4 linked regions of the Sus scrofa genome follow. The protein of the gene in region 2 purifies or fractionates together with the protein of the main gene of each other region. This does not show direct contact. Links are inferred from orthologs where the notes say so. Each region holds a gene or a part of one and is shown on either strand. Other genes may lie near its edges. The genes, in order: STRIP1, MINK1, STRN4 and STRN3.

Evidence for each region.
Region 1: the proteins of MINK1 (region 2) and STRIP1 purify together in Homo sapiens (affinity purification with mass spectrometry; 3 studies listed by BioGRID and IntAct, with this or other methods). This does not show direct contact. The link is inferred for Sus scrofa from reciprocal best matches to the Homo sapiens genes MINK1 and STRIP1.
Region 3: the proteins of MINK1 (region 2) and STRN4 purify together in Homo sapiens (affinity purification with mass spectrometry; 3 studies listed by BioGRID and IntAct, with this or other methods). This does not show direct contact. The link is inferred for Sus scrofa from reciprocal best matches to the Homo sapiens genes MINK1 and STRN4.
Region 4: the proteins of MINK1 (region 2) and STRN3 purify together in Homo sapiens (affinity purification with mass spectrometry; 3 studies listed by BioGRID and IntAct, with this or other methods). This does not show direct contact. The link is inferred for Sus scrofa from reciprocal best matches to the Homo sapiens genes MINK1 and STRN3.

The regions. Positions count from the first base shown.
Region 1 is NC_010446.5:110,063,976-110,067,533, forward strand, and holds part of STRIP1 (striatin-interacting protein 1), read right to left. Parts: coding exon 3,503-3,558; intron 3,307-3,502; coding exon 3,206-3,306; intron 2,432-3,205; coding exon 2,365-2,431; intron 1,117-2,364; coding exon 1,012-1,116; intron 440-1,011; coding exon 235-439; intron 1-234. UniProt on the Homo sapiens protein: Plays a role in the regulation of cell morphology and cytoskeletal organization. Required in the cortical actin filament dynamics and cell shape. Part of the striatin-interacting phosphatase and kinase (STRIPAK) complexes.
Region 2 is NC_010454.4:52,063,718-52,067,837, reverse strand, and holds the start of MINK1 (misshapen-like kinase 1), read left to right. Parts: upstream 1-1,269; 5' UTR 1,270-1,517; coding exon 1,518-1,574; intron 1,575-4,120. UniProt on the Homo sapiens protein: Serine/threonine kinase which acts as a negative regulator of Ras-related Rap2-mediated signal transduction to control neuronal structure and AMPA receptor trafficking.
Region 3 is NC_010448.4:52,625,068-52,629,326, reverse strand, and holds the start of STRN4 (striatin-4), read left to right. Parts: upstream 1-1,416; 5' UTR 1,417-1,444; coding exon 1,445-1,726; intron 1,727-1,808; exon of another isoform or gene 1,809-1,861; intron 1,862-4,259. UniProt on the Homo sapiens protein: Calmodulin-binding scaffolding protein which is the center of the striatin-interacting phosphatase and kinase (STRIPAK) complexes.
Region 4 is NC_010449.5:68,469,532-68,473,735, forward strand, and holds the start of STRN3 (striatin-3), read left to right. Parts: upstream 1-1,365; 5' UTR 1,366-1,577; coding exon 1,578-1,859; intron 1,860-1,977; exon of another isoform or gene 1,978-4,204. UniProt on the Homo sapiens protein: Calmodulin-binding scaffolding protein which is the center of the striatin-interacting phosphatase and kinase (STRIPAK) complexes.

The sequences.
Region 1 (3,558 bases), on a different chromosome or scaffold from region 2:
GAGAAAGGCCTGGGACACTTTCTGGAAAAGGCACGACTTCAGGGGAGGCACAGAGGAATGGGGGATGATGACGGAGGCCAAGCCCTGCAGCCTCTCCAAGGCCTTCCGAGACCTCCACCCTGATACCACAAAAGCAGGAGCCAGGTTCTTCCCTGTGCCTCGGAGGGATGCTTAGCACAGAGAAGGAAAGTTGTCACCTCCTCCCCGACCCGCCTTGTGCAGAACCACACTCACCGTTGCCGTAGGCCCAGTCGTCGTTCAGCCGGTGTCGCACCTTCTGGTAGATGGCAGACATGGTCTTCATGTTGCTCTTTCGCCACTGCCGCCCCAGGTACTTGGTCTGCACCTTGAGCAGCTTCAGCACATAGAGCTGCATCATGGCCTGTTTCACCTTCAGCGCCCGCTTCAAGATGGGGGCTGACTTGAACACCACCAGCATCTGGAGAGGGCACAAGAGAGGCCCACGTTAAGGGCAGAAGTAAATGCCTGCGCCGTCGCCCCGCTGCTAGCCCTCTTGGGGACATGGTTACAGTGACCGAGTGCTGCGGGCTTCCCCAGACTGAGGGGTGTCCTGGGACATGGGGCTTCCACAGCAGACCAGGACAGCCCTAGCAAACCTGGATGGTTGGTCACCCTAATTACGGGTCGGTCTGGAAGAAAGCTATGAATTCCTTCGCCAGAACTATCCCTACGTGCACATGTATACACCTGCAGTGAATTCATGGACCGCCCCACCCCAAGGCATCTGCAGACTCAAGGTTAAGGATGCTCAGAACCCTGGTATGTGGAGATTAAGAGGACACAGAAAATTCCTTCTATACACGTGGATTTATTTCAGTGCATGACTGAGCCTCTTCCAGCTTCCAGTTCAACTCATCAAGGAACCAGGGATCAGCCCTTAAGATGCAAGTCCACCCTGGGGACTCCCTGCACCATGTGAAGGGGACAGGACAGCATGTGGCACTTGGCTTTGAGCTCCACATTTCACACCTGCTGACTGCGCTGACTCACCATTGTCCTCGAATGCTTCCATTTTGTCAGCTTGTTCAAGATCCGAAGCAGATTGATACAAGAAAAGAGGTTCCTCCAGCAAAACTGGTTATTGTCACCTGCTTCCTGCAGGGAAAACCCAGGAACACTCATCACCTGCACAGCCCCAGGTGCTCAGCAGCTTCCAAGGCCCTCACTTATATGACCTCAGCACTGCAGGGTCTCTCCATGCCTGTACCAGGAACCCTCTGCTCCCCTCAGCACAGGGGGACCTCCACCCCAGAAGCTGCCAGATGGTACTTCTATACAATGGGCTACTACGCAGCCGTAAAAAAGAACGAAGTAGCCATGCTCAGCAACGTGGACGCAATCAAAGCATGTCATACTAAGTGAAGTAAGTCAGAGGAAGATGAACACCCTATGATATCACTCAAGTGTGGAATCTAAAATACAGCACAAATGAACCTATCTCAAAACAGAAACAGACTCACACACAGAGAACAGACTTGTGGTTGCCAAGGGGGAGCGGGGAGGGGGCAGAGTGGTAGAGACCGGAAGTTTGGGGTTAGCAGATGCAGACTATTGTATTTAGAAAGGATAAACAACAAGGTCCTACTGTACAGCACAGGGAACTATCTCCAATCTCCCGGACAGACCACGATAGAAAAGAACATTAAAAATGTGTGTGTGTATACAAACATCTGAGTCACTTTGCTGTACAGCAGAAATTGGCACAACATTGTAAATCAACTAGACTTAATTTTTTTTTTTTTTTTTTTTTTTTTTTTTTTTTTTTTTGCTTTTTAGGGCCACAACTGCAGCATAGCAGCATATGGAGGTTCCCAGGCTAGGGGTTGAACTGGAGCTGTAGCCGCCGGCCTACACCACAGCCACAGCAACACCACATCCAAGTCGTGCCTGTGACCTACACCACAGCTCACGGAAATGTCGGATCCTTAACCCCCTGAGTGAGGCCAGGGATCGAACCCACGTCCTCATGGATACTAGTCAGGTTCGTTAACCACTGAGCCACAATGGGAACGCCTACAAAAATTGTTTTTAATTAAAAAAAAAAAAGAAGTTGGCAACAGATAGGGAGTGCTCCCTAAATTTTCTTGCAGGAAACATGGAGTGTGATAGTAGCGGCTGTGGCCTCGGCTTCCACTTCCCTCAGAGCTGTGGCCCCCAGAGTTCCAGTGTGGGGAGCGGGAAGCAAGTTGACCAGGCGAGCTCTGGGTCAGCAGCCCCTGGAGTCCACACTCCTGATGAAATAATCCCTCTGCAAGCTTCCTCCCCGGGTCCCTCTACGCAGTCACAGTGCTTCCACACTGACCCTCAGGCCACAGGGAGCACTGGGAAGAGCCCACCACTCACCAGACTCTCGGCAGTCAGCTCGGGTAGCTCGTGCACCACGCAGTGAGGGTAGTCCAGGACAGAAATGCTGCAGAGGGCAAGGGAAGCCAGGCCTCACCAGGAGCAAGGGTGGCGCCGGGCGAGCAGCTGTGACAGGACTGGCTCCTGGCACTCCTCCCTCACTTACTGGAGCAGAGGCTGGAATCTACTTGCCTGCACCACCCGGTTTCCCCAGCCACAAGACAGGGAACACCTGCGCCAGGACAACCTGAGCGGCCCTTCTGCAGCCAGTCAGACGTGTACCTGTAAGGGGTGGAGACCCTGCCTCCCTCACAGCAATAAATCTGGGGCTGAGGGGCAGGGATTTCTCAAGGCAATTAATTTATGCCAAGCGCCTACTGGAGACTGTCTGGTTAACTGCCAGCCAGCCTGTGGTGTATCATACTGATGAGTGGTCCACATCAGGCACAGCTGGCACCAGGTGAGGGGGTGGGGGTAAGAGTCAGCAGAAAGGCATTAGAATGCACATGAATAGGGTTCTCTGAGAAAGCAGGAGGCCTGCCCAAGAAGAGAAGAGAAGGAAAGAAAAGAGAAAAGAACAGAACAGAAAGCACAGAAGGCCAGTGAGGGCTGAGCCCAGGATGGGAACTCTCCTACCCAGGCACAGACAGAGTCACCTGTCACTAAACTGGCTAGACTTGGGTTTGACAAACTGACGTTTTCTACAGGCAGGGACCCTGAACCCTTCATCTTTGTGCCGATGTCTGGCTTGTGGGTGCTGAAAGGGCTCAGTGGGAGAGGCCAGCTAGGAGGCCTGCCATCTGCCCAGACCCACCCCTTCTTGATCCCTGGTTCTTATCACCTGTTCTTGGCAGTGATGTAGGACATGATGTTTTGATTGAAGAATTTTAGGATCAAAGGGATGCAGTTGGCAAACACCAGGTGCTGGGCCATGTATTCAAACTGAAACCAATGGGAAAAAAACATAAGCATAGCCCTTGGGACCCCACCCTCCTTCTTCCGCCAGAGGCCTGTGTCTCAGAACATTCATGCAGAGCTCAAAGGGGTTGGAAGGCCAGGGCCTCTGTTCTTAGGGGCTGGAGGAGCAGCACCGCCTGAGGCCCTGGCCCAGTGGACAGAAAGAAGGTGCTGCAAGTACCTGGTAGACGTGGTTCAACTTAAAGTGCTTGAGCAGCAGCAGTAGGACGGCAGAAA
Region 2 (4,120 bases):
ATCTGCAGCATATGGAGGTTCCCAAGTTAGGGGTCGAATTGGAGCTGTAGTCACCAGCCTGCGCCACAGCCACAGCAACGTAGGATCCCAAGCCGTGTCTGTGACCTACACCACAGCTCATTATCCCACTGAGCGGGGCCCGGGATTGAACTTGCGTCCTCATGGTTACTAGTCAGTTTCCTTAACCACTGAGCCACGATGGGAACTCCCCCAAGGATTTTCCATTCAAACCCTCCTAAGTGATATTTACATTATGGCTAATGGTGGGATCTCTCAGAGATACCCTTGTTGCTGGAAGAGATCAAGCAGCCTTCTTCAAATTCACAGTGAAAGAAAGTCCCAGAGAAGCAAAGCAACCTGCTCAAGGTCACACAGCGTGTCTGTGGCAGAACACGAGTCCTTGCTCTTTATATAGCGTTACCCAGCCTCCAGTGAGGCTAATGGCTGGGGGTGCTATGCCTACACGACTAGACCTAAGGTGACCCAAGCAAGATTTGAAGGGGTTGGACATACATTCCTCCTCCTCCCCTCCTTGCCACCCCCTCCCCCCAGGCACAGCTCCAATGATCAGTCAATGAATAATTGTTGAAACAGTTCCTTGGTGCAGAACAAGAAGTGCAGAGACAAAGGTCGGCTGTAGGATTCCCTATTCTGAGATCTGAGATCCCCTCTTCCACACTCTCCACTCCAGCCAGGGAAGGGGGTAAGGGGCACTCCTCCGGCAGTTAGTGCCCCTCTCCACTCCCCAGCTCCCAGGTGGTTTCTCCAGCCAAGTTTTCAACTAGAGGCCCCTCCCTCGGCGGCTCCACTGTTGCCATGGCAATTAGGTGGGTGGACAGCCCATCCTATCTAGAGGCCACCCAGCCCTCGCGTGGGGAGTTACCATAACAACCCCCCCTAGTAATAGAGGAGGTTGGGTCCCGCCCCCTTCCCCCGCAAATAGAGAGGTGGGTGGCTTGATTGGCAGCTGGGCACACGAAAGAAGAGGGAAAGGGAAGGAAAGGCATCAAAGGAGAGCTCGGAAGGAAACGGGGGAGAGAAAGGGCAAAAAATAAGGGAAAGGAAGGAAACGCGTGTGCGCACGCGCGCCGGCTGGTGGGCGCGCTCCCCGGCCGCCTCGGCCTCCGCCCACTTCTTCCACGCCAGGCTCGCGCGGCCGCTCGGTCCTCGCGCGCGCCTTTCGCTCTCCCGCCTGCGCCTGCGCGCAGGTGTCGGCGCCGAGGGGGAGGGGGCGCTCGGCGCGCTCGCGTCACGTTCCCTCTTCCACCCTCCCGGTGCGCGGCCACTCGGCGCCTGCGCAGGACAGCGGGGAGGCTCGGGTTGCAGGCTCTGGGGCGCTCGCTCCTGTCAGTCGGTGGGTAGGTCCTCCCGCCGGCCCTCCCCCTCCCCGTTCTCCGGGGGAGGCGCGGTGGAGTCCGCCCCCAGGATCCCCCGATGGGGGAGAAGCGGCGACGGCGGCAGCGGAAAAACCGAGCCGGAGCGTGAGCGGCCCCGGGGCCCGGTTCCCCGCGGAGGCCATGGGCGACCCAGCCCCCGCCCGCAGCCTGGACGACATCGACCTGTCCGCCCTGCGGGTGAGCGCGCCGCCCCCCAGCCTCGCCCTGGTTCCAGTCCCCGCCGCAGGGGAGCGGGCGCCCGCACGCCTCGCGCGCTCCCCGGGCGCCCTGTCCCCCGCCGCGACCCCGGCCCCTCTCCCCCGCGCCCGCCGCAGCCGCCGCCGCCGGGCCCCCGCCCTCTGCTCCCGTCGGCTCTCCACGCGCTGCAGATTCTGGGAGCTAGTTCGGTCCCCGCCCTGGGGTGCCCCGCCCCCACACTTCCCTCCACCTCTACCTTTACTCCGGTTCCGGACCCCCTTCTCCCAGGTGCTTGAGGGTCACCCTCTGGCTCCCCTGAACCTGTAGGATCACCTCCCTGGCCCCTGACCTCCTCTGGGGCCTCTTTCCCCCCTTGCTCTTACTTAGGTCTTCTTCCTCCCCCTCCTCTTTCTCGCCTCCTCGAATTTTGACTTTGCCACTGCCTTGCCAGCCTCGCCCTCGTCGCCCTTTCTCCTCCTCGCCCGGCCGTGAATTGCATCTCTTTCCCGGTCGGCACTCCAGCCTCCCCGCTCGGCCTCACACCTCCCACCGCCGCCCTCATCCCCCTGCACAGCTCTCCCCGTGCCTGCGGTCGCGTTTCAAGTGCAGCAGTCCAGAACCAGGCATTTCCGGTCTCAGGGTCCCCGCATATTACATTACCAACTCTGCAGCAGTGTGGGGCTGGGAGGAAAGACAAGTGCACTGGGGGAGGAGGGGACGCCTTTCTTATCTTCAGAAACTCTGGCCTGGGCCGGGAAGAGGATGTTTATATGTATGTACACACACAAACACAACGCAGCCTGTGGTCCATCAGGTTTGGAAAAGCCTGGGTATTCGTGGCTTTGCTGGCGGGAGGGGGAGGCAATGGAGATCTCGGGGGGGGGGGGGGTTCATTAGAAAAGGGATCCGAGGAAACCACTGCAGCAGCAATTTCTTGCAAGTACCCATTTGTTGTCCCTCCTGGGGTTCCTGCGTGCCCTCATTTGGGAGCTTTCAGAAGCATTTGTGTGTTTTTCTTCAGCAGGGAGCCCTGGCTTAAGGGGCAATTGAGTGATTTCAAGGTGAAGACCCTTGCCAGTCACCCAGAGGGGGGTTTTTGTCTCGTGTCCTTCGGGCTTTCTCAGCAGGCTAAGGGGTTGGCCAGGGCACGATTTCCCGTCTCTGGGTTAGCTGCTCAGGAGGCCCCTGTTGAAGTTGTCTTCTGGCTTTTGAGTTAGCCGAGGAGCCCGGCAAGTAGTGGGGAGAGGCGGTCAGCTGCACGGGTGCCCCCGATATGACTGGAGGGGAGAGGGGAATTGAAGAGAGCAGAGTCATGTCGTTAATTGGGTTTCTCTAGGTGACACAGTTTTCCTTGCCATTCAGGTCATAATTTGTTCGGTGCAGTTGTTGGGCTAGGAGACCTGACTTGCTGGAGATAAGGTGATAAGTTGCCCAGGAGGGAGACTGAGCCCTGAATTTCTCTCTTTCTCTCCTCCTCCTTGTGGGTAGGGGGGTGTGTGGATGTGCTTTGGGGGAGAGAGGGTCTCATGGTTTTAGGAGGGAGGTTCTTAATTAAGGTCACTTTCAAGTGTGATGCTCACGTTAAGCCAGCTGGGGTGTGAGATGGAAATCCAGGCTCCCCTTAATCAGCTTGTCTTTGGGATGAACCCCCACCTTCCCTCTGCACCTTGGTTGTTGATTAACTTGGGCGACAGGTCCCTGTGGGGACTGAAATATAATAAACGGGTGGGTCCAAACCGTGACCTTTGGTTTCAACCTTGTGGGACTCTGCTTGGGCTTCTCCTTTCCTTTGGCCTCTTCTGGTAGGTTGGCCTCGACCCGGGATTTCCAACAATTCTGCAAACACCGTCTGACCTTGGATGTGGTATTTCCCTTCCGGACCTCTCTACTTGAAGCAGTGTCAGCCTCTTTCCTCACCTGCCTCTCGCCTTACTCGCCGTGCCCTTCCTCAAGAGAGCCCCTCGACCTGCTCTCAGTGCTGGTGTCTTTGCTGCCTCATGCTTCCTAGGAAAGCATTGGCCTTCTCCCACTACCACCCCAGGGCTTGAGGGAGTGCTTTCTTTGAAATGGGGCTGCAGAGGGCGGCTTTCTCCTTGCCGCTGACCTTTTCCCGGGGCCTAGGAGAGCCCCCATGGCACTGTGGAGCAGCTTGCTCAGTCATCTTTTGTTCTGCTCCTGTTTTCCAGCGAGAAATGGCAACCTGGAGGCTATAGCAGAAAAGCACGTTTCCCTGCACGACGGCATCTTGCGATGGGGGCCTGGGGAGGGGCTGGGAGGACACACTCAGCGTTTATTAACCAGCCTCGAAGAGCCCAGGGTGTCTTCTCTTGTTTCAAGATAAGGCTTGGCTCGCAGCTGGTGATGAGAGTAATGGCCTGATGTTGGGGGAGATTGAATTGCACCATCTCTCAGCCGTGTGTGTGGGGAGCCCGGTGGACCTGCCGCTCTGTGACCCCAGGCACCCTTGACCTCTTTGAGGCTCCACCCGCTCAGCAGCATGGGCTTGTTTTCCTGCTTTCTCGCTCACTCTGTAACCTTGACCTTTC
Region 3 (4,259 bases), on a different chromosome or scaffold from region 2:
TGGCCATGGGAGGAGAGAACACTTAAGCTGAGATTTTGTCTCTCCTCTCCCCACAAAACAATGTAAGTGGGTCCAGATTCTGCCCTGGCTTGAACCTCAACTGCTGCATCTGTAGAATGGGAATGTGATGGGTAGAGCAAATGAGTGATATGTAGAAAAACCTTTGGGGACAAGGGCAGTTCCCACGAGTGCTGGTGACACTGAGGGGCTGCTTACCTCCTAGGGTGCAGGCTGACGGAACTCCAAGGGGGTGGTTCCAGCCCAGCTCAGCTGCACTGCTGAAGGAAGATGAACCAGAAAACCCCAAATCAACCAACTTCACACAACAGGGCACAATTTCATCTTATGAAATCTCATAAGCTCAGGCAGGCATCACCTACCTGAAGCATCTTAGCAGTGAAAGGAAGGCTGTCATAGCAACCTATACCCATCCCTTCTTTCGTGAATGTGTCCAGAAAGGTAGGGGTAGAAGTGATAGAAGGTGTTACCATGACAACCCCTTCCCTAGACACATTACATTCTGAGAGACAATCCTAAAATGTCTTCTACCTTGGTGGGCCTGGTTCTAGGGTCATTGGAAGGCAGAGTGCCCCCATTACCATAGTACCCAGGACTTGGCTCTGCCAGTTTCTCACCTCCCTAGGGATAGCCCGCATCTTGTAACCATAACAACTACTCCTCAGCAGAGCATCTCCTCCTCTAAATAAAAACACCTGGCTGGTCCAAGGCCCTCCCACCATGGGAAAGGGGGAGATGGTTACCATGGTAATGCCAACCAGGAGGCTGGGGAGAGGGGCTGGGAAAGAGATGTTTCCCTCAGCAGTGTCCTTGGGGCCAGGCTCCTTTCTACCTGAGCGCTAGGTGAGGTTGCCATAGTAACCAAGGAGGGTAGGGGCCGAAGGACCACCGGGGACTTGGGTGACCTTAGCAACCTCCTATAGGTAGGTGCAGGGCCAGGAGAGGTGGAGCTCCAGGACCATAAAGGTGGAGGGGAAGGGAGGCTAAGGGTGTCCCCGACTGAGGAAGAGTTACCATGACAACCGCCCCGGGCCAGGAATCAGGATGGGGCCATCGGTGAAACCACCCCTGGTGGTCGCCCTTTCTCTCAAAGAGGGACGGTGATCTAGGAGAGTGGTGTTTGGGTCTGGAGAGGGCTAGAATCTTTCTTTGGGGTGAAGCCGGAGGAGGGGTACAGGAAGCGGCCCCTCCCAAAGTCCTGCGCTTCCTAAGGGGTCTGGGTCGCGTTTGCCCTCCTCCAGGCGCGCGCCCCTCCTCGCCCCTCCATGCGCGCGCCTTGGGGGTCGACCCGGGTGGGCGAGGCGCGCGCCCGACATCGTTCCCGGCACCGGCCCCCCCGGCCCCCGCCGAGCGCGCGCTCGAGGGCTGGCGCGGCCGCGCAGGCGCGCGAAGCACAGCGGGCGCGCGGGCCGGCCCCGGGGCCTCCATGATGGAGGAGCGAGCGGCCGCCGCTGCCGCCGCCGCCGCTTCCTCCAGCCGCCCACTCGGCTCCGGCGCGGGCCCGGGCCCGACGGGGGCGGCTCCGGTCTCTGCCCCCGCCCCCGGGCCCGGCCCGGCTGCCAAGGGAGGCGGCGGCGGAGGCAGCCCCGGCCCCACGGCGGGGCCGGAGCCCCTGAGCCTGCCGGGGATCCTACACTTTATCCAGCACGAGTGGGCGCGCTTCGAAGCGGAGAAGGCCCGCTGGGAGGCGGAGCGCGCCGAGTTACAGGTGAGCGCCGCGCCGAGTTACAGGTGAGCGCCGCCCAGGGACCCTCGACCCCCCCGCCCGGCCCGGCCCGGCCCGGCCTCACCCGCCGCTGCCGCCGCCGCCATCTTGGAGCAATGGCCGCCGGGACTGCCGGGGGGGGGCGGGAGGGGACCGCGACCGGCCCGCAGACGGAGTGAGGGGCCGTCCGAGGGGGGTCCTGAGGGCTCCTGGGCGGCTGGAGACGGGAGGGGGGCCCAGGGGCTGGAGGGCCCGACCGGGGCAGCCAAGAGAAAGGGCGCAGGGGACCAGAACCGGCTGGGAGTGGGAGTGGGGGTGAACGGACTGGCCGAAGGGTCCCTGAGAGAGTGGCCTCGGGGACCCGAGCGGACCCCAAGAGAACTCGGCCAAGGGTGATGAGAGGGCATGGAGGGGTCTTGTACGGGAGTGAGCAAAGAACATGCAGGGTGCTGAGGGAGTCACACTCCGTCCCCGTTGGAGGTGGAGCCCGGCGGGCCCCGGGTGGGAAGAGGGGACGTTGGGGGGACTTGGGACTCGCCGGAGTCGAGAGCAGGTCGGGGCTGGGCTCCCTTGTGAGTAGGGAGAGGAAGTCAGGGAGCTCAGGACGGGTTTGTTTCGGAGTGTTAGGACGGCGGGGACTGAAAGATGGCTCTGCCGGGACTCCGGGGAGGAGAGCGAGGTCTCGGGGGTGTCAGATGAAGGTGTGTGCCCCTTCCCTCTGAGGAGGAAACTTTGTGGAGCCTTGGCAGTGCGTCGCTACCGCCTCCCGGGAAGGGATCCCGGGGGTGGAATCATGGAGGGGGCCAGGACGTGCCCCAGGAGCCTGTGCTGGAAGAGCTTGAGAGCCGAGAAACTCTTCGGGGATGTGGGAGATGGGGGGACTCCCGCCCAGAGATGGGAGGTGTGGAAGATGTCAGGTGCAGAGCCCCGACCTGGAATGAGAGGAGGTCGGCCGTGTCCAGCGGTGGAGCTGGGGCGTGGGGTGAAGACACGAGGAATTGGCCGAATCTGGGGGTGGCGGGGAGCATTTTGTAGAGCAGGAAGGCAGCCAGAGGAAGAATCTCACAAAGATCCTGGGGTGGGGGGTAGTGTTTGTGGAAGTTTCTGGGAAAGGACTCTGGTTTGTGGAGTAGCTTGAGGGAGGGCTGTACCCCTGGGATGATGTTTGGAAGGCGCCGAGGAGCTGGGCTGGGTTTTGTGACCTTGAGAGATGTGGGTCCGTTTGCTGGGTGTCCCTAGGAGCCTGGGTATCAGAATTGTGAGGATTTTAAGGGTTCTAAGGATGTGCTGCCAGGAGTCTGAGGGGTCCTGGTCTGTGGTGTTATCAGCAGAAGTCAGCGCCTGCTTCTAGCATCTTTCCCCCTCTGATTTGCTGTTTCCTGTCTAGGAGAGGTGGGGACTGAAAGAAACACCTGGTTAGAATTTTGTCCATGGGATGAATAGAGAGAGCATCCCGCAATTCTCCCACCCCTGTAGGGATCCTGGCTCTGTGGTAGCTGAGGCTTGGTGCTGGGGGGGTTGGGTGGGAGAGAAATCCTTATGCAAGTACCCCTTGTTTTTGTGTTCCATCTCTCCTTCCAGAGCTCTTTCCCAGAGTACGTCTTTTTAGATCTTCTTAGTACCCCTTCATGTAGGCAGGGCCAGTGTCCTTGCCCTCGCTCAGCAGCTGCTATCGCAGCTGCTGTTTATTGAGCACATACTATGTGCCAGGCATTGTGTCAGGCACTTTAAATAAATCCTTGCAACCTTCTGGGAGGGTAAGTGATATTCCCCCCCTTCCCTCCCCTTTAAAGAAATCAAGCAGAAGAGGAAGTGGAGGCTTTGAGCAGGTCAGTGATTTATCTAGACTCATAGCCTGTGGGTGGCAGAGGTGGTCTGTGGGCTTTCGAGCCCATGCGTTATACTTCTCTGATGCCCAGGACAGAGGAGAAGCCTGTTCCAGGAAGTTCTGGCCTCTGCGGGAACGTCCAAGCAGTCACAGCAGACCTGGGGTTAAATCTTGGTGCTTGGTGTCTGGGACTTCACACCTGTGCAGCCTGCAGCACCCCCCAACCCACCTCCTCATCTTTGAGACAAACAAGAGAAAAGATGTGTCTGTTCCCCTCCTTAGTGGTCTTCTTGGGCTTTGGGAGAAAGTTGTGGATAGCACCCGCTTAGACGCTCCTTTGTCTAGCCTCCGGCGCCACTCACTTTGTTTTCTTTTGTTCTGTTATGTTAGCGCACATTCAAAGCGCTCAGGCATCTGTGTGCACATATTACATACATGTGAGTGAAGGGGACCCCCGTCCCTTTCCTGACCTGCTCCCTAACTCGCCTCCCCAACTGTTTTCTGTGAAAGTAGTTCAGCTCCATGTGTGTAATATATGAGATCATATCATGTGTATCATTTTGTGACCTTTTTTCCCACATAGTCATGCGTCTTGGTGTTCCTTTCATATCAGCACAGAGAGCAATACTCACTGTTTTTGAAAACTATATTCCACTGGTGTTTGTATCCCAGCTCATTTAATTGGAGCCCTCTTGATGGAATTTTAGG
Region 4 (4,204 bases), on a different chromosome or scaffold from region 2:
GCTGTAATTAATGAATCTTTTTTCCTTATCATAATGGTAAATATTATTTTTGGCTTTTTTAACCAAATGGTTGTTGGCTATATTAACTTTTAGAAACGTAACAGTTCATTAAGGATGTTCCTTGGCAACTAAGCACATTAAAAAGAAAACACACTATGGTACTTAAGATTAACCTTGTCTTTTTTGTATACATTATATTCATTCAAAACAACCCAGGAAAACATTCTTAGGCATTCACTTAGGATTTTACAATGTCTTCAGGGTCCCCTGTGGAGCAGCAGGTTAAGAATCCAGCATCATCACTGCAGCAGCTAGGGCTGTTACTGCAGCGCGGGTACACCCCTGGCCTGGGAACTTCCACATGCCATGGGCAGGGCCAAAAAAAAAGTGGGGGGGGGAATTTAAAAAAGGAAAAAAGATGTCTTCAGGGTGTTTATTTTCTATTTCCATCAAAAGATTCAGCTATGAATGACATTATTTTTGAGTTATTCACTTCTAAAACATCAAATTTAACCACTCTCCTTCAAAGTTTTCTTTCTTCCTCCACCTAGCTTCGAGATCTAAAGTTTTTCACGTTCCCTTATCCCAAAAGAAAAATGAAAACAATCGGTCCTGTTCCCTTCCAACCCCCCCCCCCCCACCAAACACACTCCATCCCAGAATAATAAAGAAGGGAGGCAAAGTGGAACAAGTTGCGACGTGCGACAGGGAGCACAGAATTCGGTCCAAAGCCCAGAGACAGGGAATCGGCCGCTACGTCCGGGAGGATCTGGGCTATTTGCCAAAAAGAGAACGTCCCCAAAGCCCAGGGAACTGACTGGTGTTAGGAAACCAGAAAAAGAGCGAGTGACAGGCAGAGAAAGAGGCCCGATCCTCTGGGACTGCCTGAAACACGCAAGGAATGCAAAAGAAACGCCAGGAATTCAGGACCGGCGGCGGCCGGCCAGAGCGACCAGCCAGGTTAAAACTCAGCTTCGAAGGCAGAATCGCAGCCGAGACCCTTGGGTGGGAACGGCGGGGGCTGACTGAGCGAGGGAAACCCCTTGCTAGAAAGGACGACACCTACTCGACCCCAAAGGTCGGAGTCTACAGCCCACGGGCTCCGCGGGGGCAGCCAGACACCCGAAGCGGGTCTGAGGGCGGGCCTAGGGCGGGGCTGGCGCTCCTTCCCCGCCTCTAACGGCAACCCTGCTTCCTCAGTACGCCTGCGTAGGGTGAGGCCGGACTCTATTTGGCTACCAGGCGAGCGGCAGCAGTGGCGTTCTCTACCCGGCATGCTGCGCGGGAGCGGCGGCCCTACGTCTATCCCCTTCCCAACCCTGCCCCCTCTCGCCCTCCCACCGCGGCCCCCCCTTCCCCTAAAGTGAGTGAGTGAGACGGGCAGATGGAGGAGGGACTGTAATGGCGGCGGCCGGCAGCTCCCTGCTCTGACCCACGGCAGGCATACAGCAACAACCCCCTCCCCGCCCCTCTTCCAGCCGGCCTCCGCCCCGCCACCAGCGCGGGGCCACCTTCCCCGGCCCCTTCCCCCAGCCGTCGGCGTCTCGCCCTGCGCCCCAGCCGGGGCCCCACACACAATGGACGAGCTCGCCGGAGGCGGTGGTGGCGGCCCGGGGATGGCGGCCCCTCCACGGCAGCAGCAGGGACCTGGGGGGAACATGAGCCTTTCGTCAGGGGGGAATGGAGCAGCGGGCAGCGGAGGTCCTCCGGCCGCCGAGGGAGCCGGTCCCGCGACAGGCCCCGAGCTGTCCCGGCCGCAGCAGTACACTATCCCGGGGATCCTGCACTACATCCAGCACGAGTGGGCTCGGTTCGAGATGGAACGGGCGCACTGGGAGGTGGAGCGGGCCGAACTGCAGGTACCTCCTTGGGGTTGGTGTGCGGGACAGCAGCGGCGGCGGGGTTGTCTGCCCGGGGGTGGGGCCGGAACTCCCCTCATTCGGAGCTCGAGGCCTAGGGAGGCCGAGAGGAACCTACCTGCGCGGCTGGATGGGTGATGGTCCTGGCGACGGGTCTTCCTAGAGTCCCCCTCCCCTTTTACCGCACAAGCTTGTTACCCAGCCCTCTCTAGCTGCGCGGTGCGGGCTTCCTTGGGGCAGCCATTTTGGCTGTTAGTATGGCGTCCGCGGGGGCTCCTTCGGAGGCCGCCTGCCCGGGCCTCCGGGTCTTGGGGCTGAGTTCCTCTCTGTGGGAAAGTTCCTGGCGTGGGGCTGCTGGGCACTGAACTTGCTCTCGTTTGTACCTCGTGAAATGGAGAACCCGAGGAGAAGGACTGGCATGGGCATTTTACCACCTTTTCCCGAACCACCCCTCTTTTCGAGTTGACTTGCCTGACCCCCTCCCCCGGAGTTGGTAGCTCTTACTAGTTGACAGCCAGGCTTCTTTCCAGAGCTGCCACCGAGCACAATGGCTTGCGGCTGACCTGTGAAGTTTTCATTTCCTGCCGCCAACTTTAAGTGTCTACTTACCTGGGATGCTGCCTTACTCACTTAGATTCCCTTTGACTTCTTCCTTAGTGACTGACTCATCAACACTTCTCTGTGCTGAATTTTTCTTTTTGGAGTACCCTTCACCGGGCTCCCCCTTCTCCATCCCCCATCTTTACCCATAAAAAGCCTATCCAGAGTATCTGTCCTGTCTTTTTGAAACGACTGAGGGAAGATTTGATATTAGCTTGAAGTAAAAAGTACTTGTCTCAACGGTACTAACTCAAGTAAAGGAAGCAATGTTAAATATTCTCAGGATCCTCCATAATTGAGCCGAACTCAATTTTAAGATGAAACTTGGATAGGTTGGTTTACCTAACTTTTGGAAGATGTTGGTAGTTTAAGGGCTTTTATCTTGGATTTGAGAGTGGCTATAACTTTTAAAAAGGATTATTCAACCCTTTTGGATGTTTGTATTTATTTTTAAATTCCTTTCCAAGGCAGATTTAGGCTTAGAAGAAAAAAAAAAGGGTGCATCTAAATAGTGTTGCACCTGTTCTTCATAGTGGTATATATTTAGCATGTAAGCAGTATTGTTCACTGACATGTATGTCATATATGCCTTGGGTGAATAGTTAGGAAAATGTAGTGTTGTAAGAAGGAAGATTGGATTAACTTAAAAAGAGTGTGCCCTCAATATATATATCTTCAGTTTGATTTGGAACTAGTCGACTTTTGACTCCACAAAGTGGGTAAAGTTAAACTTTTAAAAAGTAAAACATATATTTTGACACTTTGTCAAGTCTTGAGGAAATTAATTATAAATTAACACCTGTTAGTCAATTCAGTGTTTTAACATTGTACTTTGATATACCACTGAGCTTTTAAAAATATGGCTTAAAAAGCTTAAGTGAAAATTGTTTAAAAATATAACTTAAAAAGCTTAAGTCAAAATTGTTGTTAACTTGTGTATAGTCTGTTTTAAAATATCTCTATGTATATACTTAATATTCTGTATGAGTCATGTATTTTTAAAAATTTTCATTGAGGTTTAGACTCACTAAATAATGCTTCACAACTCCTTGATACCATGTTTATAACCTTTTTACTGTTGTAGGAAAGCTTGAATTTAAACACTTTTCAAGCTAGCAAGTGCATTAGTCATTCATAGCCTTCACTGCTTGCTGTAAGTAGCTGAAAAATGTCTTGTGTCCAATTTGGTAAAATCTGTACAACATTGAGGCCTATCTATATTGTCTGCCCTAGTCTTTACTTTCTCTTCTAGTTCTCTTCTTGACAGTAACAGAAATGTCTTTTAAGGACGATTCATTTTGCTTGCTTGCTTTCAGTTTATTTACTATTGAAATATTTAGTTCTGATAAAGCCATTCTAAACTTTCTTTGCTTATTTTAAAGAAGTTCTACAGTGTTTTTAGCCTCACTTTTTTCCCAGGGATTTTTTTTTATCAATTCACACTGATTCTTCTGTAATAAAATGTTCATGATTGTGTTTGTGCGTTTTTGCCCTATGTTTCTAAAATGTTTTCTTGGGCTCCTTCGTTCATAGGTCTCCAGGTTTGTTTTTAGAACATTTGCTTTACATGCCTTCAGTCTTTGTAAGAATGATTGTGAGGTACACATTTAAAAATGTGTGTGTTGAGGAGTTCCTGTCGTGGCTCAGTGGTTAACGAATCCAATTAAGAACCATGAGGTTGTGGGTTCGATCCCTGGCATTGCAGTGAGCTGTGGTGTAGGTTGCAGACGCAGCTTGGATTCCGA